3 linked regions of the Daphnia pulex genome follow. The protein of the gene in region 3 purifies or fractionates together with the protein of the main gene of each other region. This does not show direct contact. Links are inferred from orthologs where the notes say so. Each region holds a gene or a part of one and is shown on either strand. Other genes may lie near its edges.

Region 1 (9,855 bases), on a different chromosome or scaffold from region 3:
TAATAAAAACGCGATGAGTGCCGTATATACTGTCTCGCCGCGTAACAGCCGACTGATTTTACGGGGCAGGTGCAACTATACACCAGTGGCAATGCAGCAGGGCCGGTGAAGGTGACCCGTCTTGCATGGCTGAAGGCCATCAAAAGGCAACTACACTGTTTTCCCCTTTCCCCCTCGCAGTCTTCCTCTGTAACTTTGACTCTCTATTCTCCCCAACTTGGGCATTACTCTTTATTGGCATTAGCTAGTTAGTTTAAGATTAGCTGGTTAGGAGAGGTTCGGCCAAATCATGCATAATCCATGCCACGGAAAAAGAAACTCGTGTACTTCCCAGCGTTGACATTCGTCTCACGATGACTCGGCAACTACTACTGTGGGAATTAGCAGGGACAAAATGACATTCCGGATATAATAATAATATAATTATTACTCACTTCATCGTGATGCCGAAATCTCCACAGATTGTGACATCCTAATAAACTACTCAGTATATATACACATGAATTATAGTTGAAGTCATTTCTGGCCTTTAATCCTTGTTGACGACAAAAGGTTTCACCATGCATTTCGTGAAAGTTCTTTTCGGGGATATCCCGACCAAATATTTCTAAAACAACACAATGAGTTGGCCATATCTCAACTGAACAACAAACTACAGCCAAGCGGATCACTTGCGAAAAGTATATAGCTCTGCCAATATGAGGCGAAATCGCGCAATCAAAATGGCAACTTTCAATTCTCTTGTTTTTATTAGCGCGGTTAGTCTATTTGAAAAATCGGCAAAGCCCAGCAGCTCTGTAAAGACCGATTAAAGAAAACAAGAATAGAAAGAAAATCCCCGGGCTCCTTGAGTTGTATAGTAATCGCTCTCTATAGTTAGTCTGAATTGATTTTTTTGTGACGCGACTGGAACCCCATGACGGACAGTCGGAAGACAATTAATTGCTGTAGTTTCACTTTCACCCATTGCCCGGGGCTCTCTCTGTGTTTTCATTTTCCATTACAAGAAATGAGAGAATGCGGCTGAATGCCTTGAATGACGAGGAAACTACTCTTGCGTAGCCAACTTGTGTTTGAAAGTCCATTGTGTCGACCACGACCAGGAGAAAATGACAATGTGATGAATGTCAAAACAATAACAAAGAAATAGTCCCTAAAATGACGACTGGTTCTCGACAGTACTCCCGCGGTACTTGTTCTCGCAACCTGTTGCGAACGCGAAAGCAAAAAAAAAAAAAGCTGAAGGGAAGTCGTCTTTATATAGAAACCTTATCGCGTCCAGCAAGGAAATGGGCGAACAATTGGCGATCAGTTTATATCGCGCCAGCTAATCAGGACGCCGAGTTCGTTTTTAGATTTCTTTTTTGGCACTTTTCTCGGAAAATCTTCAATTTTTAGAACCATCAATAAGGTGAAAACTTACCTAATCGCAACATGCTGTATTCCTAGACGGATACAAAAGGGGGGGGGGAACACCTCTCCGTGAGCGAAAAAAGAAGAGACAATATTCCGTGCGGAAATGCGCTTGTACAACACTCATAGGTAGGAGGACAAAAGTTTGGACTCGGCCATTTCAGCCGAGTGGATCTCGACGACTGGACAATTATCGAACTCAATAGCGAAAAACTCGATGAAACAAGACTTGTTTTTCGTTCAAGGTATCACCAGCCCATCATGCATGCACAGACAGCCGCAACAGTCAAGCTCGACGGACGCTAATGTTTTGCGAATGACCACATAAAAAACGACCCTGTACTGGCACTCGATTCCCCCAATGTCAAGCCTCGACACTTCACACGCCAACAGGTAGGATACAATCCACTAAAACAATTTGATCGCGGATCGTCGCTCGTTTGGAAACGAAGTCCAATAAAACACTGGCCTGTATACATACCGAACGTCGACTGCTTTGATGAGATGATGTTTCTCTTATCAGGACTGGTGGCGGTCTCACAATCTGTCGGGCCAGGTGGTGCCGGAAACCAGGGCGAACAGCAGCAGCTAAACAAACCCATGAGGGTTCAATGCATAGGTGCTACTTTAGCAAGACACTGTCGTCAGGAGCAGGTGAGCTGATGTCCTACTAAAAAACAGAACAACAAAAATCAACCCATTCGGTCTTCCCATGGTCCCTTCCGCTAAGTCCGTACTCTATCCAGGTGAAGAACTGACTGGCGAGAAAGAGAAATTTTGATGGTTTTTCGACGTCGTCGTCGCGTTTTCACTTTTTTGTTTCGTCGTGAATATTGCGCTGGCGTATTTCCATCGTGTTGAGCTGCATTACGTTCGTTTTTTTTCTGTTTCTTTATTTTAATGGTCCTCAACTGTTGGATCATGCTGGGATGCTCAACGGAATCAAGGACGTGCGCTACAAATGAAGGGGAAAAAAGTGCCAGTTTGGTCCGGTTCGATTGTATTACAACAGTTGTTATTCGCGTATTTCTTCAGAGTCACATAGCGAAAAGCTTACCGTATGATATAACGTGACAAACGATCTATATACGTATATATACATTAGATTGCTCTTTGTAGAGTCAGACCAACAGAACAGAAGTGAAAGTTTTTTCGTGAGATGTATCTAAAATTCAATCGTGTCATTGGAGCTCTGCTATGCGCGTCGTCACGTTTCTCTGCCGAACCTTGGAGTCTTAGATCATCACACTGTCTAGTACATAGGAGATCAAGTCACGGTCATCTCACAGAAATTATCATCAGCAATCTAATAAAAATACAAACAAGTTACGACAAAATCCCGCTGTGCAATGCACGAAAGCGAAGTTAACAGAAGGTTACGTAACAAATGTCGATTATATATACGGCATCACTTCGTTAACTAGTTGATACCATTTATTTATTAACTGTGTCTTGAAAGCTGAAAATACTTCACTTCATTGGCCATGAAGTTCAGATCCCTAATTGGTTCTAGACTTCTTCGGAAACGGCTTCCGTCGCAAATTTGCATTCGGCTATTTGAATTATTGATCCAGTTTAATGAGGCATAAATTTTTGAAAGTCTTTCAAAGTAAAGACGGACCCTGCGCTCCATGCGATAAATACAAAATATGAATGGAGCAGCATAGTACATTAAGAATGGAACAAATTTAACAAACATTTGTTTTTTTATATAATGAAAGAAAGTTGTTTAAACAAATGCCATTAAAAAACGATGACCAATTCTTCGGCTCTTCTCAGGCGTTACTTGGCATTAATTATTTCCTCGTCGTCCCTTTTCTTAGCTGTCGGTCACTTTATTCGGCTGCCAAGAAATGACTTTTATCTCTGAAAGGAAAGCGTAAGAGTAGCTAGTCACCACCGAGTTCTGTTCTGTCATACAGCACCACATAAATTAGTAAAAAACCACTAAGTGTACTGGTGTGGCTTTTGAAAATGGGTCGCTCGTATTGTCGTTAGTAATTCATAACAATCTATCAAAAGTGGTAAAAGGACTGTGTTTAGTTACCCGAAGGGTTACTGGTCAAAGTTTCGTTTGCAGTATGGTTTACATGGGCACCCTCAGTTCTCGTAACACTACATAGATGGATGCACTAGTTTTTGGCAATTATTGATTGTAATCAACAATTTTATTGCATTTCAATGGCAGTAATCGGTAGCTTACAATTTTTTACATCTATTCTGAAAATTTGGCTGCAATCGATTCAGGCATTTGATCAAACGGAGTTCTGGTTACTTTTTGACAGAATTTCAATAGCTGTTACAGCAGACGATAATACAGAGACATGTGACAGGGATATAAACGTAACGTGACAATCGACTACTATTGTATGATAGAATAGAAGTCACTGTATGTTATCACCGAACGCTATCAATCTCCAGTAACAGAAGTGCTGATAGGTAGTTACTTAAATTTAATTTTAACAAGATCCGGTGTGACGTGGGGTGGTGGGGCGAAGCCTCCGCCGCACCAAAGTCACGCCTTACCCCTACGCCGCGCCATATCATATTAGGTTTTTTTGGAATTTAATTTTTATTTAATGTTTGGATAGAAACATGCGGAAATATTCTTTTAATCTCTTTCTCGATTTTTGCTTATTACAATCTTCCGGAAACTAAGGGCATAAATTTTTTTTAAATGTTATTAATCCATCTTAATAATAGGCCTACCTTTATAACGGAATATTTTTATTATTCTATAACTATTCTATAACTCTGTCTTTGTAAAACTATACCAATACTACTATACCAACTAGAATACCCTTAACATTCCCTTCGGGTACCTTGCGGCGTACGTACGCTGCCTACAGTTTTTGTTCCACAATTAACTATTTTTCGTTCCGTGTAAACGCCATCTCTGTACGATATCCAAAGTTCGTGTAATAATTCGTTGAAAAATGAAATTATATCACCAAATATGATTGTGAATGTTTTTCGGCTAACCGTATTCGATTTTTTTTTACTCCACTCCACCACAATAACAGATAAATATCAAAATTTACGCCAAATTTGCAATTAAAATAAAACATTTTAAATCTGGCAATCACTTTTCACTGCTCTGTGTTGAGCAGACGAATGTACAGGTTTTAGAAGCGTGAAGGATTGTGGTCTTGTACTTGCATGGTACTTGTTTGACATTTTTTGTGAAGTCCGTTGATTTATTCAGTTAACTACGATTAGATCTATTTACACTATCGGAAAATGGTACGTGAAGATTCTTTTAGTCACATTAATAACTTTTTGAAAATAATACCATGATAACATTTCGTTTTGACATCTCTTTTTGACAGCCCAAAACAAAGAAATTTATAGACAAGAAAAATGCAGTCACCTTCAACTTGGTACATCGAAGTCAAAAGGATCCTCTTGCCGCTGACGAGCAGGCTCCTCAAAGAGTTCTAGTTCCAATTGCTCTGAAACCAGAAAAAAGTACTGAAATCCCTGCATCCTCTAAACCAAAGGTATGAATAAATCAAAATAAACAAATCAAAATTAAAGGGAAGTGTGATTTATAAAAGGTTTTAATATTCAGGATCCTGCCCAACAGAAAGAAGAACTAGCTAAACTTGGAATATACTTTGATGATGATTATAATTACCTGCAGCACTTGCGTGATGTTAAACAAACTGCTGAATGGGAACTGGCAGAAGATTCTAAAAATTCAAGAGTCTGGAAAGCACCAGTTGCCAGAGGACTTTCAGTAAGGATCTATAGGATTGGCTGTATGATAGAACTATTAGTTGACATTTTTTTTTCTATTTGTGGTTAGGACCATCCCTACAAACTTGCCCTGCCCTCCTCAGTTTTCCAATCAAAAGTGGAAGAAAAAGTTGGACTACTAAATAGAGCTGCTCCCCACTCAGGTTTTCATTTCTTTAAGCCTTGAATTTAATGTCAAAATTTGAGAAAGGATTTAAAAGTTACTGAAAATTGTAGGACCGAGGCCGGACTTGGACCCAGACATAGTTGCAGCTTTGGACGACGACTTTAATTTCGATGATCCTGATAATGAACTAGAAGATGACTTTATTGCATTTGCTAATGGAGTACCTTCTGACGTTGAAACAGAGTATGTTCTCGAGACAATTGAATTGAATTTGGATTTGCTTATATTCATTTTATAATTATGATTAATAGCGAAGATGATGGCTCCAGTGGTGACGATGAAGAAGAAAACGACGACGTATTGTGTGACATGCGAAGCGACTCAGGACAACGTTCACCCGATTTCAATGACGATAACAAATCGCATTTTACTGAATATTCGATGACCAGTTCAGTTATCAGAAGAAATGCCCAGCTCTCGTTACTAGACGACAGATTTGAACATGTATTCTGATTTGACCACTTTCATTTGATTCAAAGATTACAGTATTTATGGATTTTTATTTGTAGATGATGGCTCAGTATGACGACGAAGAAATGGGCGCTTTAGATTGCGAAGAGATCGAAGGACACATCACCTTACAAGACGATGAAGTGTTGAAATTGGCTGCGGCCTATGAACATGACAAGACAGAAGGCATCAGATTGGGTCGTGAAATTGGCAAAGTAGTAAGTTGCAGTTATCTTTTATTTATTCTCAGGTTGTGAATATCGACGTCATTCTTGTGAATCGAATTTTAGGCAAGAGACGAGGTGGAAGGAGCTGTAGAAAGGTACTTGGAAAAGTACCAGAGCGACGAAGAAAATGACAGCAGTTCAAGTGAAGAAGGTGAACAGGAACGTAAATGGGATTGCGAGTCTATCCTGTCAACTTACTCTAACATTTACAATCATCCTAAACTCATTTCTGAACCACAGAGTTCCAGAATTATTAAAGGTTCCAAGAAATTTAACTTTGGTGTCCATAAAGCTCAAATCTAATTAAAAAATTTCGTTTGATTCGTAGTGTGTCCCAAAACAGGTGTTCCCCTTAATGTCCTGGGGAAACCCGGTCTGACCAAAAAGTTCTTAGATCAACTCGATCAACAAACTGAAGGGACCAAAAAGAACTGTGTCGAAACGCAGTCCATCATCAGCACATTATCGACTATATCCATTCGACCAAAAGATGAAACACCAGAGCAGAGAACCGAAAGGAAGCGACTTGTAAAAGAATATCGTCAAGTAATAAGCGACAAATGTTTCGTGTGTCAGTTTTCACTATTAATGTTTGAATTTTATATTTTCTTAACAGGAAAGAAGAAAGGAAAAGAAAGCCAACTCGTTAGCTTTCAAAGAAGAAAAGAAACTACAAGAAAAACAACATATAAACAACCGTAAAAATGTTAGTGGCATTAAATTGTTGTAGTGGTTTTTTCAAACTTCGAATACATCGCCAGATGTACATTCACCACGACGCATTTGTTCGGAGGTTTTGGAATTATTTGTAAACGGTTCAATACATCAGCACACACGTAACGCATTTGTATTCCACTTGCTCGACCAAACGTGCTAGCGACATACAAAATAGGAGGAATGACATATTACCAGCCGTTCAGAATGTTGTTAGTAAAGTGTGTGGTGGTGTGGTGATGGTTTTAAGGAAGGTAAAGGTTTGGAAACATCGAGCGACGACGCTGAAGAGTGGAATGGTTGACAGGTAATAGCATACTAAACGTGACTAGCACAACGCAATCCAATTCTATAAGTAATCTGAACAGCCAGATAAATGACATGTATCAACGACATCCTTAAAATATTCAAGGGATTCGAGTAAATCGAAATATTAAAAAAATTTAACTAAACGTTTAGCCATTACCCGCAACTGCCCCCATTAAACATTTGTTTTTCTAGTAAAGAGTTGAGACAGCGGTTTCTCTACTCCCCACATAGGGTAATTGACGAAGCTTCATTGAACCATCAGAGCCACAAGAAAAGAGTCGTCCTGACGTGTCCAGATGAATCTGTTAAAAATTGAACAGCTATTCAGTAATTCCCACACATTTACAAAAATGTAAGGACATACTTGATTTACGCCATTTCCTTGCCCCATGGAACGGAAAAAGGATGATCGTGAATGTTCAGCAGGAAACGCGTAAAGTAAATGTTGTGTAGCAAGGCTCCAGACCTTTCAGTGAATACAAATCATTACAACTTCCATATTGGTTGATAAGAACCTTATATACCTTGATATCACCGTCAGCAGATCCAGTGGCAAAGAATTCTTCATTGGGATCTAACGCCATGCATTTGATCGCAACAGAAGAATCATGCGCAGTGAACTTGTGACGAAGTGTTCGTTGTCTCAAATCCCATAAGCAGACGATTCCTTTGCGGCCAGCCGATATCAGGAGCTGATGCTGAGACGCATAGAGCAAACTGGTGCCTCCGTTTTCGTGACATACAAATGCTGCAGGGAAAATCATCAGAAGAGTCGTTAGCGATATTCAAACCTTACTGACGTTAAAAGGAACCAACTTACAGTGAATAATTGCTTTGCGTTGGGGCATTAGGGTGTCCCATAAAACGACGTTGCGGGACTCTGAACTGTGACCGGTTGTGGCCAAAATACTCGATGACCCCAGAAACACAAAATCTGATGTCCCCTTGCTGTGACATTGATGTGACTGTTAAATGGTTTAAAAAAATTAATTAATTGCCGCAATCGATCACAGTCTACCCAAACTTACACAAAGGAAGTAACGGATGGGCCGTCATCCTTCTTACTCCATCCACCTTATGTTTCCGTAACTAGAAAAAAACAATAGATTGTTAACATTAATAAAAAGTCAGACTTGACTTCTATCAAGCCAAAGTCATTATTTAAACCACTGCAGATGAGAGAAAACGCCATTAAATTAGCATAACATTGATTTTTGGTAGAGGCACAGTGGCACACACAGTAGTAAAAAACAAGAAGATGAGACAAAGCAGAAAGAAACGCTAGCTGTTACCGGTGTTAGTAGTAGTTTGCTTCGCCGCAGCACCAGCTGAAAAAATGGCGGATGTTGCGAACCAGGGAATGTCAACCCTTTCGGTTGCAAGGTGTGGGAGGAGGGAACAGAGTAACGAATTTGTGTAGGAAGGGATAGCGAAGGATAGCAAGGAGGAAGGATAGCGACAGATAATTTTAAAACGAAAAAGAGAAATAGTCAGATGTCCAAACACATTCAAGGAAATGGGATGCGTGTCCAGAGGACGAGTGAATAAAAAAGAGATAAAGAGGTGAGGAGCAGAAAAAGACGGAAGTAAAAGCATAGACTACGAAGTAAAGACGGCGATCGGATTAATAAGATTATGCATTAATTTGGTTGAACCGATCACTTTTTGATTATTTGGTTTGTGTTATTGGCAGTTATAATTTCTTCCCTATATATTCCCAGCTTTTTTTCTGCTCCTCTTTCGTGAGCATATCGAACGTCAGCAAGGAGGGTGAAAACCTGCGGCGGTTTTAAAAATCATATATAGGTTAGACATGGGACATGGGTTAGATGCACTTCAAAATATTTTTTGAGAAACAAGTACAGTTTGGCAATGCTGCGTGAAGTGCAATAGCAACTTTGACAGTTGGAGTACTTCACGTGTGAAGTGCAATAGGCGCGACCATTGTAGAAAGGTAGAAAGCATGCCAAAAGTCCGAAACCCTCATAGCTTGTTATAAACGTAAGGTATTATTACAGTATTTGACCATTCTTAGTTCAACATATCAGTTTATTTGGATTTGAAAATAGAAGAAAATGTTAAATCCGGTAAGACGTGAGCTGAAAGCAAGCGATTACCTAACGGAATTTGCACCTTTCCCGAACGCACGAGTTCGAAACGTTCTCAAGGATTTCTGTTTTGTAGGAAATATTAGCGACGTGGATGAAGTGACTAAGGTATTTGCTCGCAACTATTGTTGAATATTTGATATATTTATTTTTAAATATGACTATTTATTGTTGAAGCAATCACCCATTTACTCTTGATGTTTTTCATTTCTAAGGTTCTTTTATTGGGTTGTGGTGATCTAAGAAATACCTTTCAAGCAACAACTTCCAAGAATCCTCAAAATTTAGAGATTCATCTCAACGATTTTCATCCTTCTGTCTTGGCTCGAAATATCATAATTTTGAAAATTGTGTCAGCAAGTGATTTCAATCCTGACAATGATGAAGATTTTGGTTTTCTGTGGGATGTGTGGTACAATATGGATTGGCCAGAAGAAACCAGGAAGAGGTTTCTTTTTGTTGTGAAGGAGTTGACGAATGAGAAATTACCAGATAACGTCTCAATTCCAAACAAAAGTCACCTTGATAAATTGAAGAGTTTGTGGAGTAACTGGCATTCTGTTTCCTCTAAAAACAAAACCAATTCTGAATCACTCTTGAAAAAAGTCTGGGGACAAAGGTAACTTTGGCTTTAATTAAAAAGGTTTATAATAATAGTGGTGCAGACTAATTCTTCCATATTTATTTATTAGGAATCAGTGCTTGTTGG
Region 2 (10,122 bases), about 6.8 Mb from region 3:
CGACATAAAATCCCCAATCAATACTTACGCAGTGCCGTCAGTTCGAACCGGTCATTGTCGTAAAAATGATGAAAGAGTGCGGTTTACTTTTCGTTTGCTGGGCGACTGTGGTGTTGGCTGGAATATTACAACCTCTTCCCAGCCATTCAGCGATGGGAGACTGCCGATCCAACGAAGATTGTGGTCCCAACCGGTGCTGCCTACTTGGTAATCGTTGAAAAAAAAATTAAGATTCTCTTCCATCAAATTAAATATTAAAACGTTGTAAATTGAACAACAGGTATGATGCGGTACAGTACGCCGTGGTGCGCGCCATTATTGAATTTAGGTGAAGACTGTCGACCGACCAGCAGTAACGAGCCTTCAATAACCAATAGAACGCTGGCTTACCCTGGAGGCCTTGAAATCTTCCTTAAAGATGCTTATCAGGTTTTTGAAATTTCATTCCATTTTCTCTCTCAATCACAAACCAACAAATTTCTCTTTTTCTCTCAAAATGCCAAAAGATTCTCTGCCCGTGTGACGCCAATCAAGGACTCGTCTGCAGTCACCTAAGCGCGACGTGCATCTCCGACGAAAGCCTGAATGACATTTCACCACTCTAAAACTCGATCGACCTGATTTTTGTTTGTTTCAAAATTCTTCTCTCTCTTTCTTTTTTAAATGTCAAATTATTTCACGTGCGATTTCGTCGATTAAAATAAACCACAACAAAAAAACCGAATTTGAATTGGAGAAATTTGATTTGATATATTTACCATTTCATCATCGGGGCGGGAAACAACGCAATTATTGATTGGCCTTGTTGGCTTTACCCCGGATCTTGCTACCTACCGAGGCTCCTTTGCGCGCCGCCTTCACCAGTCCCTTAAATTGACCACTCATCTTCGCCTTTTTCCTTTTATTGAGAGCATTGCGGCTCAGCGGAACGTAAGCGAACGGATCAGGTTGGCCCTTGCGCTTCACATCACCACGTGCCTTTTCGCTACGGTATTCGACTCCGTAATCGGCCGGTTTCACCTTCTCTTGACTCTGCTGGGCTCTCTGCTTGGTCGTCAATTTGTGGACGGTTCGCTTGGCTGATGATGGCTTGACGGCCACCGCAACCGGTCGATGGATACCCGATCCACCCGCTTGGTACTTGAACGAAGGTTCGTCTTCTTCGTCGACCATGGATTCGTGGTCGTCGATTTTACGTTTGCGGTCCACCTCCATCTTGTCCAGCGCTTTGCTCAAGTCGACGTCCGATTCCTGAGAGGAATCGGATGAGTCGCCACCATCATCGATAATCATTCGACCGTCGGGGGCTGTTTTGAAGATGCTCTCCTTCTTCTTCTTCTTCTCGGCCGTCAATTGCGCCAGCATGGCGCGCGCAGGATTAGTCGATGACACTTTTTTGGCTGCAGCTGGATCCAAAAAGTCGACAATGGATCCTTCGTCCTCTTGAATCCACGTCTTGGGCGTCTTCTTCCGCACGTCCTTGTCTTCTTCATCATTCTCCAGTTCGCTGTCACTGTCGGCCAAAACGTGTTCCATCGTCTTGGGTTGCGTCGCCATTTCCGTCTCGTCTTCATCGTCTTCCTCCTCCTCATTTCCGGCCGCTTTGCGCTCTTCCTTTTGCTTCTTCTTCCGCGCTTCGATTTTGCGGATGTTATTCAACCGCTTGAGGAGGACAGTGTCATCCTCGGGGACGAGTTTCATGACCAAATCGGCTCCACATTTACGGATCAGCCGGATGAAAATATCGCGCGTCTTGATGAGGTAAGTCCGTTTGAGTTCCTCGTCCATCGAGCTGAGGCCGGTGATGAGCCGCTTCAAGTAGAGAGGCAGTCGCTGCGAGTGGACGGTGACGGTGAACATGCGGATGAAAACGAGACAGGCCAGGACGACATCTCGATTTCCAGTCACCAACAAGGTGCAGATGCTCTCCAGGACAGTGTCGATGAGCTCCTCTGTACAATTGGAAGCGAATTCGTGGACAACGTAGGTGACGGATGTGACAGCCGTGGCGATGTGAGCCTCGTCATCGCTGGACATTCCCTTCATTAGTTTAGTGACGTAGTCTCTGAGTGCCACTTGCGGATCAGAGGACCACTTTTGGAAAATGCGTCCGACATCGACGAGGAGCGCAAAAGCGGCGGCTTTGACCTTTTCGCCGACTCCTTTGACAGCTAATGCCGCCTCTGAAGCAGAAGCGACCAGGAAGCGACGGTTGGGTGCAGTTGACGGCTGCTCGGCCAATAAAGCGACCAAGCGAGACAAAGTGCGCAACCTCGAGGCCCGACTCGGTGCTTTGACGATATCTCTCGAGCTTGTAAATAATTTGACAATGCGGCTCAAACTGGCGCGGACGTGACGGCCACACGGACTGGCCTCATCGGCACCGACGATTTCCTCCACAATGCGATAGGCTTTCTTCTGGGGTTTCGACTCGCTGCCCATGATCCACGGTAGAACGAGCTGGACAAAACTCTCGACACGGTCCGGGTCCTGGTAAACCACCAAGGCTCGCAACAAGGCCAAAACAGACTCCCAGATGAATTGGTTCTCTTCCGCTACAGCCTTGTCCTCCTAATGGATAATAAATCATTTAGACATTTGGCTCAATAAAATTTGGTGTTATTTCATTTACCGATTTCAAACTGGCCGATGCTGTCGTCAATTTCTCCTTGGCTTTATCAAAGAGCGAGTGGAGCAGTTCTGTATCGGCCACTTGCAGGTAATAGGTCGTCGTCTGGAACACGGATTCGCGTTGAGACTCTTCCTCGTCGGTGGTCGATTTGGTGGTAAACAGGTTGAAGAGCAAAGGAATATAATTCTTGGCATAACGGGCCACCTCGACCCGAATCTTGTCGTCCGTCTTTGAATGAATAATCAGCTGACGAAGAGCGGCCATCACGTCCATTCGAATGTCTGGTCGATCAGCCAGGGCTTGGCCCAGCAATTTGGCAATCTGTTTGAAGGAAACTTCAACATCTGTCGGGCACTTGCAAAAACCCGGCAAAAGGGCCCACATTTGACGCTGGAGGAGGTCAAATATCCGAAAGCCAACCCGATCCTGATCTTCTTTACATTGAGGGACTCTTGCACGACACATCTGGGCCAGCGGCAAAAAGTATTCGATGAAGAATCCGAGTTCCGTGTTCTGAATGTTTTCACGCAAAATGGGCAGGAGCCAACTGTATGGGAATTCGTAGGAATTCTTTTCTTTGCCAGTGATGCCCAGCGGGATGCATTTCAAGAGGAATCGAGGGCCGCAAACACGAACTGCTTTGCCGATAGCGAAATCCGCTTCAGCTTCGTGCGGGAAACGTGGCGAAACGCGCAGACTGGCCAGCGATTTGATCAAACTTTTCAAAATTTCCGGACGGCTTTTGCCTACTCCTTCGATCAAGGTGGTGCACAAGTGGATGACGTACTTCCAGGCTTTGACCGTTTGATAATTCAAACTTTGCTCAACGCTTTTAGTGATTTTCTCGGCTGCCGATGTGACGGCGGCCATATTCGCCGGCTGATTGAATGCCGGTTCCAGACCCTGGCTGATGAGCGAGGCCAGCGATGGAGTGACAGATAAAACCACTTCCATCCTGTCGCTGGACCAGAGAACTGTGGCCACGCTGAAGAATCTTGGGAGATGACCGACGCAAAGGAGCGAGTCCAGTCGGCCGAGATTGAGAAGTGCTTGGGTCATGACACTCAGCCATCCGCGCAGGGGTTGCGTGTCGTTGGCAGAGGGTTGGTAGTCGTAGAGGGCAGTGATGAGACGAGCGTTCAGATCGGCAGACAACGTGATGGCCCTGGGTCGGCAAATAAACATGCTGTGGAAACACTGCATGGCGCAAGAGGAGATGAGAACGTTGTTGAGTGTCATGAGCTTCAGCAAGGATTCACACAAAGGTTTGACTTCGCTTTGGGGCAAGACGGCAACAATTTCTTTCAAGAGGTTCAACAGATGGAGTAGAGGCGATGGTTCGCTACCAAATCCGTGCTCTTCAATAAATGTCAAACAGAATTTGCCCGTCTGATGAATACAACAAATAAATACAAATTTGAAAATTACTTTAAACAATAAATCAAAACTACTAGTAGGGCCTATATTCATACCCGAGATGCAACAGGGTGCAATATGGGAGCGTCTTCATCTTGAGTCAAAAAGGTGCTGCCTTTCAGGATAGAGCTGTAAAAAAAGAACAATTAATTATGTACTAAAATATTTGACGCTATTTCAAATTACCAAATGGCGTGTTGTGCAGCTTTGCGAACCTGTGGCTTGGGGCTGGACACAAATGTCAGTAATGCGTCGTAAATTTGCAAGGTGGAAGAAGAGGACCAGGCTGAAACATCCTGGTTTCGAAGTAGAACACCAAGACAGCCGACCAGCGACCGAATCAGAAGGCTGTTGTCACTTTCAATGTATCGGCCCAGCAAGTCGAGTAGACATTTGGCTGACGTTGAGAACTTGACTTTGAGAACACTGGCGGGAACTCGTTTGATGACCATACCCAAAAGTGCAAGGGTAGCGCCAAGTGAATCTTCGCTAGTCTCGGCCACTTCCAGTGTCGTCATCAACACTGCAAAGTATTCCGTGTCAGTTTCTTTGCCTCCTTCCTGTTTGATGACTTCCGAAACAGCTGCAGGAAAGAACAAATTATAATTGGGCAAAACTAAAATCATATGCTAAATGGCATACCTGCAAGAACAGCCAACATTTCTCTATGAAGAGATGAGGTTGGCGTGAAACCTCTGTGTAGTTTATTGAAAGACACATTGCTACAGTTGGAGAACCCTGTGGCAAATGTCTTGACTGAGCTGCTGGATCGGAATGTCTTTCCAGAGATGACTGAGTATGTTTCGTCATCATCAAAATCTCCATGGGACACTGACGGGGGTGCAGTGATGACTTCAACAGCAGCAGAGGGATCATGGGGCTGTCAGGCACACAAAATTTTAATCAACATGACTTGAACAAATAAAACAAAAGATCAAAATTACCTTTGACGATTCAGATGCATAAGTGTGCTGCTTCAAAGCTTCTTCAGTCAAACCACTTTTCTGGGTAGAACCAGCCGGTGGCCCGAATAAAAATGGCTGGAAAAACCTCGTTTTCGCCACTTCGCGATGTTTCTTGATTGTGGGGTTGGAGCTGCTACTCTGTCCCTTTGCCCATCTTTTGCCTTTATTTCCAGGCCCCTTGATACGAGTTTTTAATTTGCCCATGGCGTGATGTATTCAGAAAAAGCACCGTCGTCAAATACACTACGTGCAATTTTATACTGGTTGACTCTGGCGAAACTTGCCAGTGATTTTGGTAATCAACTAGCACGTGTGTCGTCAACCAACTGAAAAAGAATCTGTCGTCTGCTAGACTCAGCGACGTTGGCAGTTTTCCATTTTTCCAAGAAGCCGTGCGCTTGGAAATGTTTTTAACAGCCGAGAGAAAAAGGGAAAAAAACAACAGATGTATTTCCTTTTTATTCTATAAATAATTTAAAAAAAAGCATCAAAGTAATTGGCACAATCAACGACCGATCGATGCGAATTGATCGGTTGGTATATCTATAACGGTCCAAAAAGTCTGTGTTGTTTGTCTTCTTGACGGGTTGTTCGCAAAAGTCTGCAATATAATGTGTGTAGCAGCCAGCCTACATAGTACCGCGGGTTACACGCAATCTCTTTCTATTAGACCTTTATTTTGTTCTCTCTTTGCCTTTGTTTCCCTGGGCGATCGATTCTCCTCATACTCATCTCTCTCTCTCGGTATTAAACTGTAATATCTATTCTTTAGAGTCTTGGACGTCTCCACAGTCTGCCCATGTAGTCTAACTTTTCTCTTTTATAGATAGATAGCCGCCGAAGCCACGCCGGATGTGATCACGACTGTCGGCATAGTGAGGAGGAGCTGATGTTATATATAATCAAGAGTTGGAAGACACAAATAGGCGGACTCTCTATCTACTGCATCATGTATATAGTCACCCGAAAGATGGATATAATATATATATAAAGGGCAGGAGGGTAATCAAGAATGTCCGGTGTGTCTCGGAATCAGCGGAAATGATCTTTCGACATTCGTGAACAACAACAATAAGACGGGCAGGGCGAAGGCCAGCGAGGTATACAACGGTCGTCTATAGCGAATGAATGGCCGGTTAATGATATATACACACAGATAAATATAGTTGACGTTGAATAGAAAAAAAGGTCCTTATTAATATTAGAGATGATGATGATGTTGAATTGATTTGCAGGTCAACTGTGAGAGACCAGCTAGTCTTTATAAGGCTTTAATACGAGGCTTGCACACAAGTTTGACTGGAAAAAGTCAACCCCCACTACTCACAGAAATCCTGTGAGACCAATCAGAGAGAAGGAAAAGAGGCTTTCTCCAAATTCTGTATATAGCTACACACGCTGGTCTTTATTATACGGCGGGATGGAAAGATGTAAGAGTTGGCATCACGAGGATGGATGGATGGATGGAAAAAAGAGTCGCCGAGAAAGAAGTTCATTAAGGCTCTTCCTGTCGTCCAATTTGAGATGACAATGTCTCAGCCGACACATAGTCAATAGAACGACAAAGTTGGTGGTGGTGGCCTAGGTACAAAGTATCACGCGGGTTAAAGCAGCAAAAGCGGTCGTGACTGGTTTTATTGAGTCATCATCAACTATACAACAAGCGTCGGATAAATAGACGAGTCAAACTTGTCTCCTATCTAATATAAATGAAGGCCTTTTGTAATTTAAACGATTCGCCCGAAGAAATACTTGAGAAAAGAATCGAGACGATGAAAATCCGCCCAGTCGAGTGCAAATAACATTTCTCGATTGGTTCGCAGTGTGGTCCCTAATGTGCAACAGCTGTTGAAAGAGACATGATGTGTGTTTGTCGTGTCTGTCTGTGACAGTCCGAGCGGTACACCGCAAAATGTGTGCCGTCAACTGTTTCCAACTGACGTGAGAGATCTGTTGGAGCATTGATCATTCGCTCCTTTTTTCTCTCTATTTCTTCTAGTGTACACACAAAGTCGTCGCCAATTGTATTGCGTGTTGAATGGGGAAATCGTCGCCTCCGCCGGATGAGAAGCAAACACTCGTGAGCGATGCGTCCGAGTTGAGGCAGTACGGATCCGCACCACCAATCCATTCGTTGGTAAGAGTTCAATTCCCATCCAGCGTTGTCTCTAATATTGATTCGGTATATGGCCGGAATTATTCGAGTGAAATTGGATCCAAGACAACAGGTCGAAATCGGATGCGCTCGGGCGAAAGCGACGCCAAGACGATCCAGCATCAAATGAGTGGAATGAACACGGTCCTAATAACTGCCGGCCAACCAATGAGCACCGACCGGAAGTCGTTGGCAGCCGCCACAGCATCGCGACACAAAGAAATGGAAGAGCCTCAAGACTTTGAATCGATCGTCAAAATCCGCTTGTTTCTCGCAACGGCAGCCCTTTGGCTCCTTTGGCTCCTAGTTTACGTCATCCTCTCCCACTGGCGCCTTATTTGAGACATAACATACCCCACGATCCGCACCACAAATTCCGGCGCCATTCACGCGCACATCCTTTCGGGCTCCGGATCAAAATCGAAATGTTTCTCTTATTTTTTGAAATTTTTGAAATTTTTGTATTTTGTCATGTGCGGAGAAATAATTTCTTTTTTAAGAATAAAAAGATGAAAGTGAAAAAGCGGGAAAAAATGTGGCAATAACCGACAGTAGAGACAAGAGCCAATGACTAGTCCAACACACCAATAAAAGAAGGAAATCAATTTTTGGCGGGAATTTCAAACAAGAAAAAGGAGATGATTAAAAAAGAAGTAGAAATTGATACGTGTACAACACACGACAAAGACAATATGATACGTCAAAAAAAGATTAATGATTTTATATTCTGGTAGTACTATAGCTTTTTCTTATCCAATTTTTCGGGGGGGTTGTGTTGCGCGTTCCGGATGTCGCCGTGAGTTATCGATCGAAAGTTCCCTCGTCGATACCACACGGCCGCCCATTTTTTTCTCTTCTTCCTTGTTTTCACGTGATATATATTTGTTATATCTGGTTGTGTGTTTGGTTTTTTTATTGTTGATTTTCCGTGACGGTGGGCGTTTCGTCCGAAATCGAATCCAAAGTTTCATCCATCTGAGAGATTGCGGATCATTCCGGGAAAAAGACAAAAGTATAGAGATAGAACATATGTTGAACATCAAGAAAATGATATTGCACTACTGCTGGGCGGAATAGAATTTGAGATTTAGGAGCCGAGAGTGAATGATAATACCTTTTCGTGATCGGGAGTGTCGGCTCGGCGGGCCGTTTCTTCCATGTTCAGCACCAAATCGGCCGTCGACTCGCTGACAGTGATGGGCTGCTGTTTGATGGCCAGCGCCCGTCTCTCCTTTGCCCGTTGCAAAATCAAATTGAGAGCTCCGCCGCCGTGCTGAATTTTGGTGGGCGACGTGGCAACCAGTCCCGTCGTCGTCCCATCCTTTTTTAATTTTTATTATCCCGCAGGCAATAATATGATTAATTAATTCATTAAGACTATTTAGAGCAAAGCATAGAGAGGAAATGAGCAGCTAATGAAATTCCAGCGTGGGCAATTAATTTAGGAAATGATGAAAACTTAATTCATTTCTTGTTAAAATTACCTCCAGCGATGGCGGATCCGTCATGGGAGTGGGCGGATTCCTTTCGGCTCTCTCCACGCTCTCCGTCTGGCTGATGCGGATCAGTGGGATTTTGGCCGGCGATCTAGGAGCGTCCGTCATTTTGTTAAGCGGCTCCTGCTGGTCCGGCTGATGACTGGCTAGTTGCTGGTCTACTCTCGGCGGACTGTTGATGTTGTTGTTCGGTTTCTTCTTCTTCTTGACCACGGAGGCATAGACTGGCTGGTGGTGAGGCGGACTGGCCGGCACTGCTGCTCCTGGCAAGGGCGGCTGATGATGACCAGCAGCGCGGCCGTTCAAGACGGGACTGTCGTGCGGCAACGAGTCGCTAATATCCAAATCGCTGGCACCGTCAAATTCAGTCGTGGTAGCAGCAGCGGTGACTCCTCGTGATCCTTTGACTGGTGGCAGTTGCTGGCCACGTCTGAGGCCAACTTGACGTCCCGTCGTCATCCCAACAGGAGCAGCAGTTCTCGGCTGGGCTCCTGCCGACGCTCCTGCCGACGCTCCTGCGCGTTGATGCAACAGCAGCCCATCTTTCATCCCTCCTCCTCCGCCTTTTAGTTTTCCAAGAAAATCAAAAGAAAAAGAAATTCATTAGCCGATCATAACGACAGTCCCGAAAGAAAAGAAATTCATTTTTCATCTTTTTGGTATAAATACAATTTCAAAGGAAAAGATTTTCCCGCTTTTATTCCCAGTGGTGGATTTTTAGAAACTGGGGACAAATTCCACCTACAAAAAAGGGCAAACGCAAAAGTGACTTTTCCCCATTTGATTTCCTGGGGAAAAAATATATAAGAGGCTTATAAAACTACATGTTCCCAGCAGTTCCTATTTCTCTGACAATCCGCCGTATATAGAATTTGCATTTTTAATATCAAGAAGAAGAAACAACCCAATCAGATTTACATTTACGTTTGTCGACGGCTTCTTTGGCCAGCGTTTGAGGAAGGATCGTCTGCGATTTGGTCGGTGCGAACGGAACAGCTTTGCGCCATTGGGCAATGACTTTGGCGGCCGCAGCGTCGGGAACAGCGGCCACCGATTCGGCCTCCTTTTTCTGGCGCGTTTTCAAACGTTCGGCGTCGCGTTCGCGTCGAAGTTGCGTCCGCAAATCGGTGACGGCCTCCCTCAGCGACGAGCTGAGCGACACCAAATAATAAATGACGAGAATGAGGAGAACGAGGAGCGGAATGACGACGCCGGGCGAGGCCACGTAACTGAGGACCCAGTGGAGACTGTCGGGCGTGGCTTTCAGCAAACTCTGCGTCATGACGTGAAAGATGCGCGAGTATTCGCTAAAGGGGCCGCAGTGCCACGACGGCTCCAGCCACACGATTGCGTAGGCCACCGGCAGCGTGCACAGGAACAGCATGATCAGCAGGAGCCACAGGTAAAAGTTGTTGGAGCGGGAAGCTTTGAAAATCACCTCGTGCGGCACGTTGCATG
Region 3 (9,949 bases):
TATGGTAGATAGCCTAAATAATGTTTTTTTTTTTTTTTTTTTTTTTTTTAAATTAGATGGCATTTCAGCACTGGTTTTCTTTTATGGGCCTGTTGGTACCTTGCTAGTTCTCGACATGATATGTTTTCTCTCCTTGATTTTCAATCCCAACCTGATGCACTGCTGGAGGAGGAAACAATCGATAAGGAGCAACAAAAAAGTTTCAAAGGAGCAGGAAGAGTAAGAAATAATGATCGTGCTATTAAATGAATTATATTTTAATTATGTTGATGAAATTTGATTTTCTTTGAAACAGTTTTAAAATGGCGTTGAAACTCTTTTTTATCACCGGAGTCCCATGGGTGTTTGAACTTGCTGCTTGGCTGCCTGTGTATCTATCCGAATCTCAAGCCATCTTTCAAAGCAACTCCGTAGGAAGATACTTCTTCGAAATCGGCAATTTGCTCAACGCATTGCGAGGAATCGTCATTTTTATCATTTTTATTGTTTTACAACGAGATGTTCGTCACTATTTGATGCTTCGCCTTAAGAGAATTTTCAAGAGAGATTCTCCGACTAATGTAGCTCTCCAGCATTCTCCAGGCAATACCGATGGAGGCCATTCCGTCTCAACTGAACAATTAACCAATAGGCGAATTTCCGCAATGACTTCTCAAACACTCGTCGCATCCTCTGCGTCGGAAGAGCAGAGTACCAATGAACCTGAGTTAGACGAGATAAGCATTTTATAGCGAAACAGACAACACAATTTAAGAAATATATAAAATCAACAAATGAAAATAGATCTAGAAAATCTGGTTCAAAAATGATTAAAACAATCGACAAACTAATTTTGCATTGAAAGGTGCAATACGCACGTACGATATTTCAATTGAATTAATTCAGCGATGTTATCAAAGATGTTATTATAGGAAAGTTTTTTTAACCACTACTAAATAACAGTTTCAATCATAAAAATTTGTCCAACTTCCTTCTTTCATTTTCTCTGTGGAGGAGCTTGCTTTATTTATTTATTAAATTTTTTTATGATTCTTGAACCACATTTTTAATTGTTCAACGTGCCAAAATGTCTACCCATCTACGTATCTAATTCCATCCCTTTCTGCGCGCGTGAGTTGTCTTCTAGAACTGATCTTCTTTTTTAAATGTGTTTAAATCTGTATTTAATTTAAAAATAAAATGTCAAAATTTAGGGTATTCTGTTACTGTTTGAGGCCAATATGATTATCTTCCTCTTTTTTTTCATGATACCTGCCGTCTTAGCCTTACATCTTTCTCTAGTTTTCTTTTCCCTCATTCTCTTCTTTCAAATATTCGAACCAACCCGACACAGACAAAATCATAACAGCTCAAAATTCAGATTGCTTGAAATAAATGTTTAATAGTTAGTGTTTTTTTATTTTGAGAGCATCAGGCAATCAACGAGACAACGAGTAGACGTACTTTCGGGGAAAGTAAAGGGGTGTTTCCAATTTATGCAACTCAACCACCTGATGCGGAATGAATTTTCTCTTACAGTATATGACAAAGAATCCTTGTGACCATTTAAAAAACGAAATTCTTATTACACCTAGCATATAGCTAGTATACAAGAAACTAATTAGGAAATTGCCAAAGGACTCAGACTAGCGCTTTAATGGTATTGTAGCGGAAACAGCGACCGGACACCATCCGGGAAGGGTAAAGAGCAGCGACGGTCAGATGACTGTTTCTACTTTTCCTGGTGACGACGCGCCACAATAGGGATCAGTTAGACTCGGGCAGTGACTATAAATGGATGCAACTTAACAGTCGGGATCAGTCTTGGATTTGCTGTATGCCTTTGAACTTTCTCAATAGACATGTGCATCGGATTCAACCCAGAATACACATGTGTATTCTAGAAGCTGAACGGCATACAGCAAATCCAAGACTGATCCCGACTTTTAAATTGTGCTACATTGGGTCTAACCGATCGTTCAATGTCGACTGACCGTCGCTACTTTTTACCCTTTCCGTGCAACCTCTACAATACACTAGATGGAGCCAATAACTTCGAAATCATCCATGTTTCTAATAAACGGTAGTAGCGCATAGCGCAGAAACTACAGAATATGACACAAACTGCAAAAACTTCCATTATTGCTTCCATTATTGTTTTAGAAAATTGTTTGTAGATGAGAAAAATTAGATTTTGTCCCATCACTCAGAGTATTTCCTAAAGTGAAATTAATTCTCAAGCATGTAACAAAAACTAGCAAAATTGGCTCATTTGAAACCTATCGAGCAATTAGTAACTTTAAACAAGTGTTAAACGATCATAAGACTAATCATAAGACAGAAGGTTTAGAAACTAACCAACATTGAAAAACAGAAGAAAATATGGACAAGGTCCAATCAAATTTTATTTATACCATTAATTGATTGGCAGCATCTTCCATTTCTACTTCATGATTATACAAAGGAGATGGAGACGCTACGTTAGGATCGAAGCTCCACTTAGGGAACACGCGTTTATAAAGATTCATCATTACTGTGTCCTGGGATTTGATTTGGCCATCAAATACACATTTCATGTGTCCGTGCGTTCCAAGTGGTTCTGAAATTTAAAAAGTTTATAACTATAGTAAAAAGAAAGTTATCATCTATGCAAACCTCGGATGTGACCTCGTCGACCATATTTCGTTCTTAATTCAACTGGTTTGAACCATTCGATGTCCTCACGGTTGAAGAACATAAAACGCAGGACAGCAGATTTGCGGTGAACTTTAAATGGTGCTCCACTCAAAACGGCACGTTTAACTGTAATGCGATCAGGATTTACTGATAAAACCGATCCAGTCGCTATCATTACTTGAGTTCCGTCCTTCTTTTCCCGAAATACCAAGACTGAGGCAGATGGAAAGATAATTGGCGCGTAAAGAGTTGCTACTACAACTGATTCTGGCCGAAAGAAGCGCTCATACTGAACAAAGAAAACTCCTTGATGAACAGTACATACAAAAATTAGATAAAAGATAAACATTACCTTATGCTTGTTGGCTGCAGTGTGCTGACTAAAAATGGGAGCAGCAGCATACCGCCGATAACCGCAATGAAAGATCAGTCGCTCTTTTGACGGAATCGCTTGCTGATCCCGTGCATTTTTGAACCTCTTAAGAACAAGATTAACCACACTCATTCTCTGTTCGTGAGGCAACATGCCAACTAATGTCAATGGGTAGCCGGATTGGAGACTCGCTGGTAAATGGCTGGGCACGTTCTTAACGTGAACTCTCACGTACCATCCGGGCTAAGAAAATGTAATTTTAGAGCATTCAAGTTTTTATCAAATTGAACCGCATAAGAAAAATAAAAGTCACAATACCTTTGCTCCAGTTCGTTCTTCTTTCAAGATTCGCTTTCGAGTCCGCGGAAAATTTTGGAACTGAAAAGTTCTGGAATAATCCATGGGTAGATTTTCTTTGGCATCCCAAGGTGATGTACGAAAGGATTTCAAACCACGATACTTTTGAAAGCGTACCTTAGCCAATGTGTCGCGTGGCGTATCCACTTCGTCAGGGAAAAGTTCATCCTCACGAGCTTCTGTAAAGTCAACACATTTTTGTTGGAATTGATGGAATCATGGTTAATTTAGAAAAAAAAACATACCCTTAATTTTTTTAAATTCTTCTTCTTCATCTGCAAATTTAACTTTTTTATCGTACACATCCGTGTCTCCACCTTCGTTGTCTACTGATTCCATTTCATCCTCTTCAGCTTCTTCTTGTGATTCTTCACTTCCATCATCTCCAGACATTTCTTCGTAATCATCTTCCCAATCGTCACTATCATCCTCTTCTTCTTCATCGTTTTCTTCGTTTTTATCATCGCCCTCGTCTTTGATCCAAGCGGCTTGATACTCTGATGTTCCTTTTGGTACTCGTTTCTTTTTTTCCGATTCTTCATCATCTTCAATTTTGTCCGCTTCCATAGTTTGGCCTTCCATTTCTTCTTGGTAAGGCCAAGTCTGCTCACCGTTCATAGGATCAGGATCATTTTCGGATTTCAGTGATTCTTGAAGAGCGGGATTGGCCTCTTCCAGGAAAATAAATTCTCCGGGTTCCCTCCTGACTTCGATTCGCTCCATTTGAAAGTCTCCCCATCCAGGTATGTGGACTAATCCATTCACGTTTAAGGGTTGGTAGCGTACGTATCCATCGACAATCAAACTTCCGACTGTAGGATCATCAGAATTTTGCTTGAAGTTCACTTCTTCACAAAGAAAATGGCATCTCATATTTCTTTGATAGATAGGTCGCTGTTTCTGGGACCCAATGTGATGCAACAGTCTGAGAGCATCACTTTCATTTTCAATCACTTGAAGCTTCTCTAATGGCACCATCTGATCCAGCTGTTTCATAAGAAGCTTCTTGTAATCATTTCGTTTCTTCAATGAAATGGTCTCAATGTCATTAACAACAAAAATTGGAGAAGGAAGCCCCTGTGCCATGATGGCAGACAACAACTCTTCACCACTGCTGTCAAAACCCAAAGGCCCTTCATTACTTGTTGAATGAGACATACAGCTGTCAGTGTCAGAAGGAGGTGATATTATGAATACAACATTATCAACAACTTTGCAAGCATCTAGTGCTGCATATAGATCTCCAGGACGAGGCACTATCAAACTGAAGTTCTGCCGAAAACGTGGCACACTGAAAAACAAGAAAGAAATTAGCAACATACAAATATATGTATATATATATCTATAGGCACTTTACTTGATGTTTATTACATTGGAGCCAGTCATTTCCACTTTTGCATCAGCATCACACTCTTTGATTTGTTTCAACAACTTTTGAATGTTTGCTGATTCTCCTAGTGGGATTATTGCAGACAGAAAAGGAGCTGAATCATTCCCACCTATTGCCCTCTTTTTAGCCAGGACATCTTCTCGTTTCTTTGACCTTATCTGATTTGCTTTCCTTCTTCTTTCATCCCGCTTTAGTTCTTGATTTTTCCTTTTTGATGCTAATTTGACATGAACTCGTCCTAGAATTACCACACTAAGTTAGTTTGAAAATGACGCCAGTAAAATAAAATACAAATATTTGCTTACCTTTGTTGTTCTTGTCAATTTCACTTTTGCTGCGATGTCTCCCATTTTTATGAGATTTATTTTGCTGTTTTAGAAGACCGGGTCGATGTGAAGCCTGTTCACCTCCTGCCATCCCACTATTTACTACTGTTAATTACTTAATATAGTAAAAGAAAATGTAACCGTTCACTTGGTACTATAGACGTTTTACACACGTGGAGTTCGCGGACGGCACAATATTTCAGTGCAGACGACGCTAAATCTTGCAAAAGTCGTAAACGAACAATTTGAAGTTGCCCTACTACATGCTACTACATGCTACATCTTGTTAGTCCGCAAGTTATTAACGCGTGCGAATAATATTATATGTTAATAACTTAATATATATATATTCATGTTATTGTAATACATATAATATTACTATATTGTGTTGTAACTACGTGTACCGCAAGTCCGCATGCGGTGCTGAGCTGACACGCTGTCCAAACGGGCAGCCGCAGCGGGTCAGCGGCCATGCCCAGCGCACGTTAAGTGTTCCTTAGTCCCTTTTCATTATCTTGTGATCTTTTTGTCCAGTCAGAGGCGCCATTTTTCCTCTACCAGTAAATGCTATTGTCCCTCCTTAGAAGTCAGGATTTTTATCAATTTTATCGCTGCAGCAGGTTGCATATTTTTAATTTATACAGTTGTATTCCCAAGCAGTTAAGTATCGTTTCTCCAATCGTCCTCTCTGGTAGAATATCTCCAAACCCGATTAAACATTAAATTAAATTAGAAAACTGAAGTGACCATATAAAAAAAAAATGTCTCAACAAAGTTCCAAAAGTTGGAAGCAATTCACGAAAAAAGTTCGTTCAATACAAAATAATAATATAAAGATTTGTATTATCTCACGAAAGCTCTTTACTAAAGAATAAGCCATTGAACATTGCAAATTACAACAATAACTTATTACTGTTTACTCTGGTTTAGTTTTTAAATGATTGGATTTTTTTACGGTTGCATGCGGATAGCGCCATCAACACGAACCACTTCTCCGTTCATCATTGGGTTGAGTATAATTGATTCAACCATCATTGCATACTCATCTGGCTTACCCAGACGTTGCGGAAATGGTACGGTCTTTGCCAAATATGACTGCACTTTTTCAGGTAAAGACTCGAGCAAAGGAGTTTTAAACAATCCTGGTGCAATGGTACAAACCCTGATACCCTAGAAATGATAATAATTAGTTAACATTGTAACCAGTTTTAACTTGAGCCATTTTATCTCTACACCTCCAGTTAATTAGTTTTATTAAATTACCTGGGACGACAGATCTCTCGCAATCGGTAGAGTCATTCCAACAATTGCTCCTTTGCTTGCAGAATAGGCGGCTTGACCCATCTGACCATCGTAAGCAGCTACAGATGCAGTATTGACTATCACTCCTCTTTGACCGTCTTCGTTGGGCTGATTTTCGCCCATTAATCCTGCCGAAAGGCGAATAACATTGAAAGTTCCCACGGTGTTTACCATCAAAACTTTAATGAAGTCTTCTAGTTTGTGTGGAAGATTTTTGTTAAAATTGTATGTTTTGAAAGCAACTCCAATTCCTTAATAAATAAACAAGCTATTAAACTTTTATTCAAACAGAAATTCTTTTAAATTTAATGAAAATTACCTGCACAGTTTACTGCAACATCAAGTTTTCCAAATTTTTCTTTTGACATGGAAAGAGCATTCATTACATCTTTCTCAGAAGAAACCTATTAGGAACATCACATGTTATTAGTTGAACATTATGTTTTACTTCTTAAACATTATCTTTACATCTGTTGGGGCAAATATAACATTTTCTGACATGCCAGCAGCTACTTGTTGTCCTTTAGAAGTTGGTAGATCACATAAGACTACCCTTCCACCTTGTCGGACAATTCTCTATCAAATGATACAATTATACATCAAGGCTGGATAGTAAATTCACAAGAAAACCAGTTCTGATATACCTCAACAGTTGCCCGGCCCAAGCCAGAAGCTCCACCAGTCACCAAGGCAACAGCTCCCTATTAAAATCAAGTGTTTCAATTACTCCAAATCCATATTTGTCTTCTGTGACGATAAAGGGAAACATATAACGAAAACCGGACATGTAATATAAATACACATCAGAAACTCAAAACTATATAGGGTTCTTGACATAATTTGAAAAAAAATTGTTTTAATATTTACTTTACAGCATTTAATTTTCCATTCCATATACAAATGCAATGTTATTTAACTTACTTTCAACATTTTATCAAACGAATTTTATTTTGCGATTTAAACACGAGTCCTTTTGCCTGTTCCTCGCGATATGCAAGACAGCAAGAGAAGGATCCGAGTACGGCAGCAGACGACCTTACGAAAGTTAGACGTTGACATTTAACAAAAATGGATTTCCCTTTGAAAAGACGAAAAAGTGGTCTTGTTGTCATCCCTTCGATTTGGATAGATGCAGGTTGCAGGTATAAGTTAAAAATGAGCTATAAATGTAGAATAATCCTTAGCTTAGTGTCCCACCCCATTCCATTGGGATTAACAGCTGTCAGTTAACATCGGTAAATTTGAAATTCTTGAAAATAATATTCCTTAGGGATTCACTTTCTCCCCATGGAAACTTTGGCAGTTTACGACATGTTTTTGCGCCTGCCTTTCACCCTTGGCTAGAAAAAAAAAATATCTTGTCTCAAAACTTGCTAAGGAAAAGACCGACACCAACCACATCTTTAGCCTACCTTAAATCCAAGAATAACGGTCACATCGGTCACATAAAGAGATGAATACCTGCATATTTGCTAAGACACAATATTTTTTTGGCATATTTTTTTTATATATTTCGGAGTCAACGACCGAGAACGACCGACTTTAGTGTGCATCTGCGATGCATATAAAGGCTCTTTGCAGCACACTTTTCTCTATCAATCTTTATTTGAAAACCTTACAGATCAAAATGAAGATCTCAGTGATGACAAGCATGATTTTGCTTTTGGCGACTTCTATATGGACTGCAATGGCCAGCGCCATTGCTGTGGAGACTACCAGTCAAAAATCCCTTTGTCGACATACACCAATTGCAGGCAAGTTCCTACTTGTTCATTGTTTTCTTCTTAACTGTATTCTTATCAATTTGAATAGCAAAATTTTTGTGCCCACCGGAAGCGTGCTCACCGAGTTGCGGAACAGGTTATCACTGCATGAAAGGGCAATCTCCCAACGAGCCGCCTTGTTATTGTATGCTTGATTCAGATATGCCATGCGTGAATTAATTATCCTTCGATACCCCGCGAACCTTCAACGTGATATCACAAATTTTTGTACACCGTAGAAAATATATTTTCTGGAATAAAATTTACGACGCTGTTAATCTTTTCGAATTCTGCATGTTAGTTACTCGTCGTGTAAAACCAATGCGCAAGAATTAATAAATCCAGTTCTTTTTATTCATTAAATGTTTTACTACAATGCGTTGAATTCGATCATTGTGCATTTTTCACATCAAACAGTCACGTCCGACATACTTTCCGCATGCCGACATGCGTCACGGACATTTTTTTTATGGGTAATTCCACGTAAAGTGAAACCAAACAGAACGAGTGAAAAAGCCATCGGCGTGATGACTCACCAAATATGGGTCTCCATACTCTCCAAATATACACGGGAAACTTAGAAAATTTCCCATTTATTAGTTATTACGAAATGTTTGCGAGAGAGACAAATAAAACATTTATACTAAGACCTCCGAGATGTCGCACAGTCCACTGCCAAAAGACAATTTGTTTTGTTCTGGCCGTTTTTAATTTGATTGAAGTATTGTTTCTTTGAAATTAAATTTGGACGAAGCCACAACGAAAGTCGCTTAATAAGGAATAGGAGGGTGAACTTACTAAATTAATCTCTGGCGGGATATCCTCATTTCTGTTATCAACCCAGAGAAATTCCGACTTGCTGATTGGCTGCAGTGCGTAGTGTTATTATTTTGTTTACGAAAAGGGGAGGAAGAGAGAAAGAGGCCTGGCCTGTGGCAATGGGTGCAGTAGCCAGAAACCAGTTGCAGAACAGAACAGTGAACTCCGGTAGTCAGTCTGACATTTCGAGGCTTTTTAAAACCGAGCTACACAAAGCTTCTTTTGTTCAGTAGCTTTTGATTCTCGAACTCGACAACAACGCATCGCTTGTCGCTTCAATCCGAAGGTTAGTATTTGTTTTTCCCCATTGGAATGACATTTTCCGTACAGTACGTGTTTTATGAATATTTAAAAAAAAAAAACGTGATTGAAATTTTGTATTCAAGGCCAAACAAAGCTTGCAGAATAAAGAGAAAATGGCTGGGAAAATATCGATTGTCGCAGCACTGATGGTATGTATTGCTGGCGTCGTTCACAGCCATACATACTACCTGGGCTCGTGTCCTCGAGTTGAGCCAGTCAATGATTTTGACATGTCAAAGGTAAAGTTGGAAGACATTTTTAACAATCCATAATTTCAAGAGGACTAATAATTTTTGTTATGTTTGAATCAATTGACGACCTAGTTTCTTGGACGCTGGTACGTCATCCAGAAATTTTCCACTGCCTCGTCTTGCTGGACATACGATTTTATTCGCAATAAAACCGACGACTCGCTGAAAATTGTACAGTCACGCGATCATGTCGCTCTGGATACCATTGGTCTAGACAACAACTATCGTTACACCGGAGCACTAGTACGTTTGACGTTTTGAAACATTTTAAGCCATTTACTTATTTTAATTTTTCTTTTTTCACTGGTAGGATGTACCCGATTTGAACCGACCAGGCTTTATGCGTGTGCGTTTTCCTATGAGTAAGGATTCTCTCTTATAAATTACTGTTGAATTGCAAAGAGGAAATG

What was found. Proteins that work in one complex are often made in the same cells at the same time.
Region 1: the proteins of pre-rRNA-processing protein TSR1 homolog (region 3) and protein LTV1 homolog purify together in Homo sapiens (co-immunoprecipitation; 4 studies listed by BioGRID and IntAct, counting the BioPlex papers as one, with this or other methods). This does not show direct contact. The link is inferred for Daphnia pulex from reciprocal best matches to the Homo sapiens genes TSR1 and LTV1.
Region 2: the proteins of pre-rRNA-processing protein TSR1 homolog (region 3) and RRP12-like protein purify together in Homo sapiens (affinity purification with mass spectrometry; 3 studies listed by BioGRID and IntAct, counting the BioPlex papers as one, with this or other methods). This does not show direct contact. The link is inferred for Daphnia pulex from reciprocal best matches to the Homo sapiens genes TSR1 and RRP12.

What each region holds. Positions count from the first base shown.
Region 1 is NC_060017.1:1,277,160-1,287,014, forward strand, and holds protein LTV1 homolog, read left to right. Parts: upstream 1-4,499; 5' UTR 4,500-4,653; coding exon 4,654-4,656; intron 4,657-4,742; coding exon 4,743-4,913; intron 4,914-4,984; coding exon 4,985-5,152; intron 5,153-5,221; coding exon 5,222-5,315; intron 5,316-5,388; coding exon 5,389-5,521; intron 5,522-5,589; coding exon 5,590-5,782; intron 5,783-5,847; coding exon 5,848-6,006; intron 6,007-6,078; coding exon 6,079-6,274; intron 6,275-6,343; coding exon 6,344-6,561; intron 6,562-6,631; coding exon 6,632-6,745; 3' UTR 6,746-6,793; downstream 6,794-9,855. Other genes in the region: dmX-like protein 1, read right to left, coding at 7,227-7,340, 7,403-7,504, 7,563-7,786, 7,859-7,886; uncharacterized protein LOC124197216, read left to right, coding at 9,114-9,254, 9,362-9,765, 9,839-9,855. UniProt on the Homo sapiens protein: Essential for ribosome biogenesis.
Region 2 is NC_060018.1:13,077,930-13,088,051, reverse strand, and holds RRP12-like protein, read right to left. Parts: upstream 5,363-10,122; 5' UTR 5,218-5,362; coding exon 4,993-5,217; intron 4,929-4,992; coding exon 4,691-4,928; intron 4,632-4,690; coding exon 4,235-4,631; intron 4,178-4,234; coding exon 4,105-4,177; intron 4,022-4,104; coding exon 2,633-4,021; intron 2,572-2,632; coding exon 790-2,571; 3' UTR 725-789; downstream 1-724. Other genes in the region: solute carrier family 13 member 5-like, read left to right, coding at 9-207, 281-429, 507-605; transmembrane channel-like protein, read right to left, coding at 8,081-8,143, 8,283-8,489, 8,653-9,227, 9,589-10,122.
Region 3 is NC_060018.1:6,275,499-6,285,447, forward strand, and holds pre-rRNA-processing protein TSR1 homolog, read right to left. Parts: upstream 5,368-9,949; 5' UTR 5,193-5,367; coding exon 5,081-5,192; intron 5,014-5,080; coding exon 4,743-5,013; intron 4,677-4,742; coding exon 3,631-4,676; intron 3,565-3,630; coding exon 3,347-3,564; intron 3,272-3,346; coding exon 3,008-3,271; intron 2,945-3,007; coding exon 2,635-2,944; intron 2,579-2,634; coding exon 2,388-2,578; 3' UTR 2,367-2,387; downstream 1-2,366. Other genes in the region: uncharacterized protein LOC124188662, read left to right, coding at 57-219, 296-731; 3-hydroxyacyl-CoA dehydrogenase type-2-like, read right to left, coding at 6,053-6,271, 6,365-6,654, 6,723-6,807, 6,872-6,979, 7,048-7,104, 7,325-7,333; apolipoprotein D-like, read left to right, coding at 9,402-9,527, 9,612-9,782, 9,850-9,901. UniProt on the Homo sapiens protein: Required during maturation of the 40S ribosomal subunit in the nucleolus.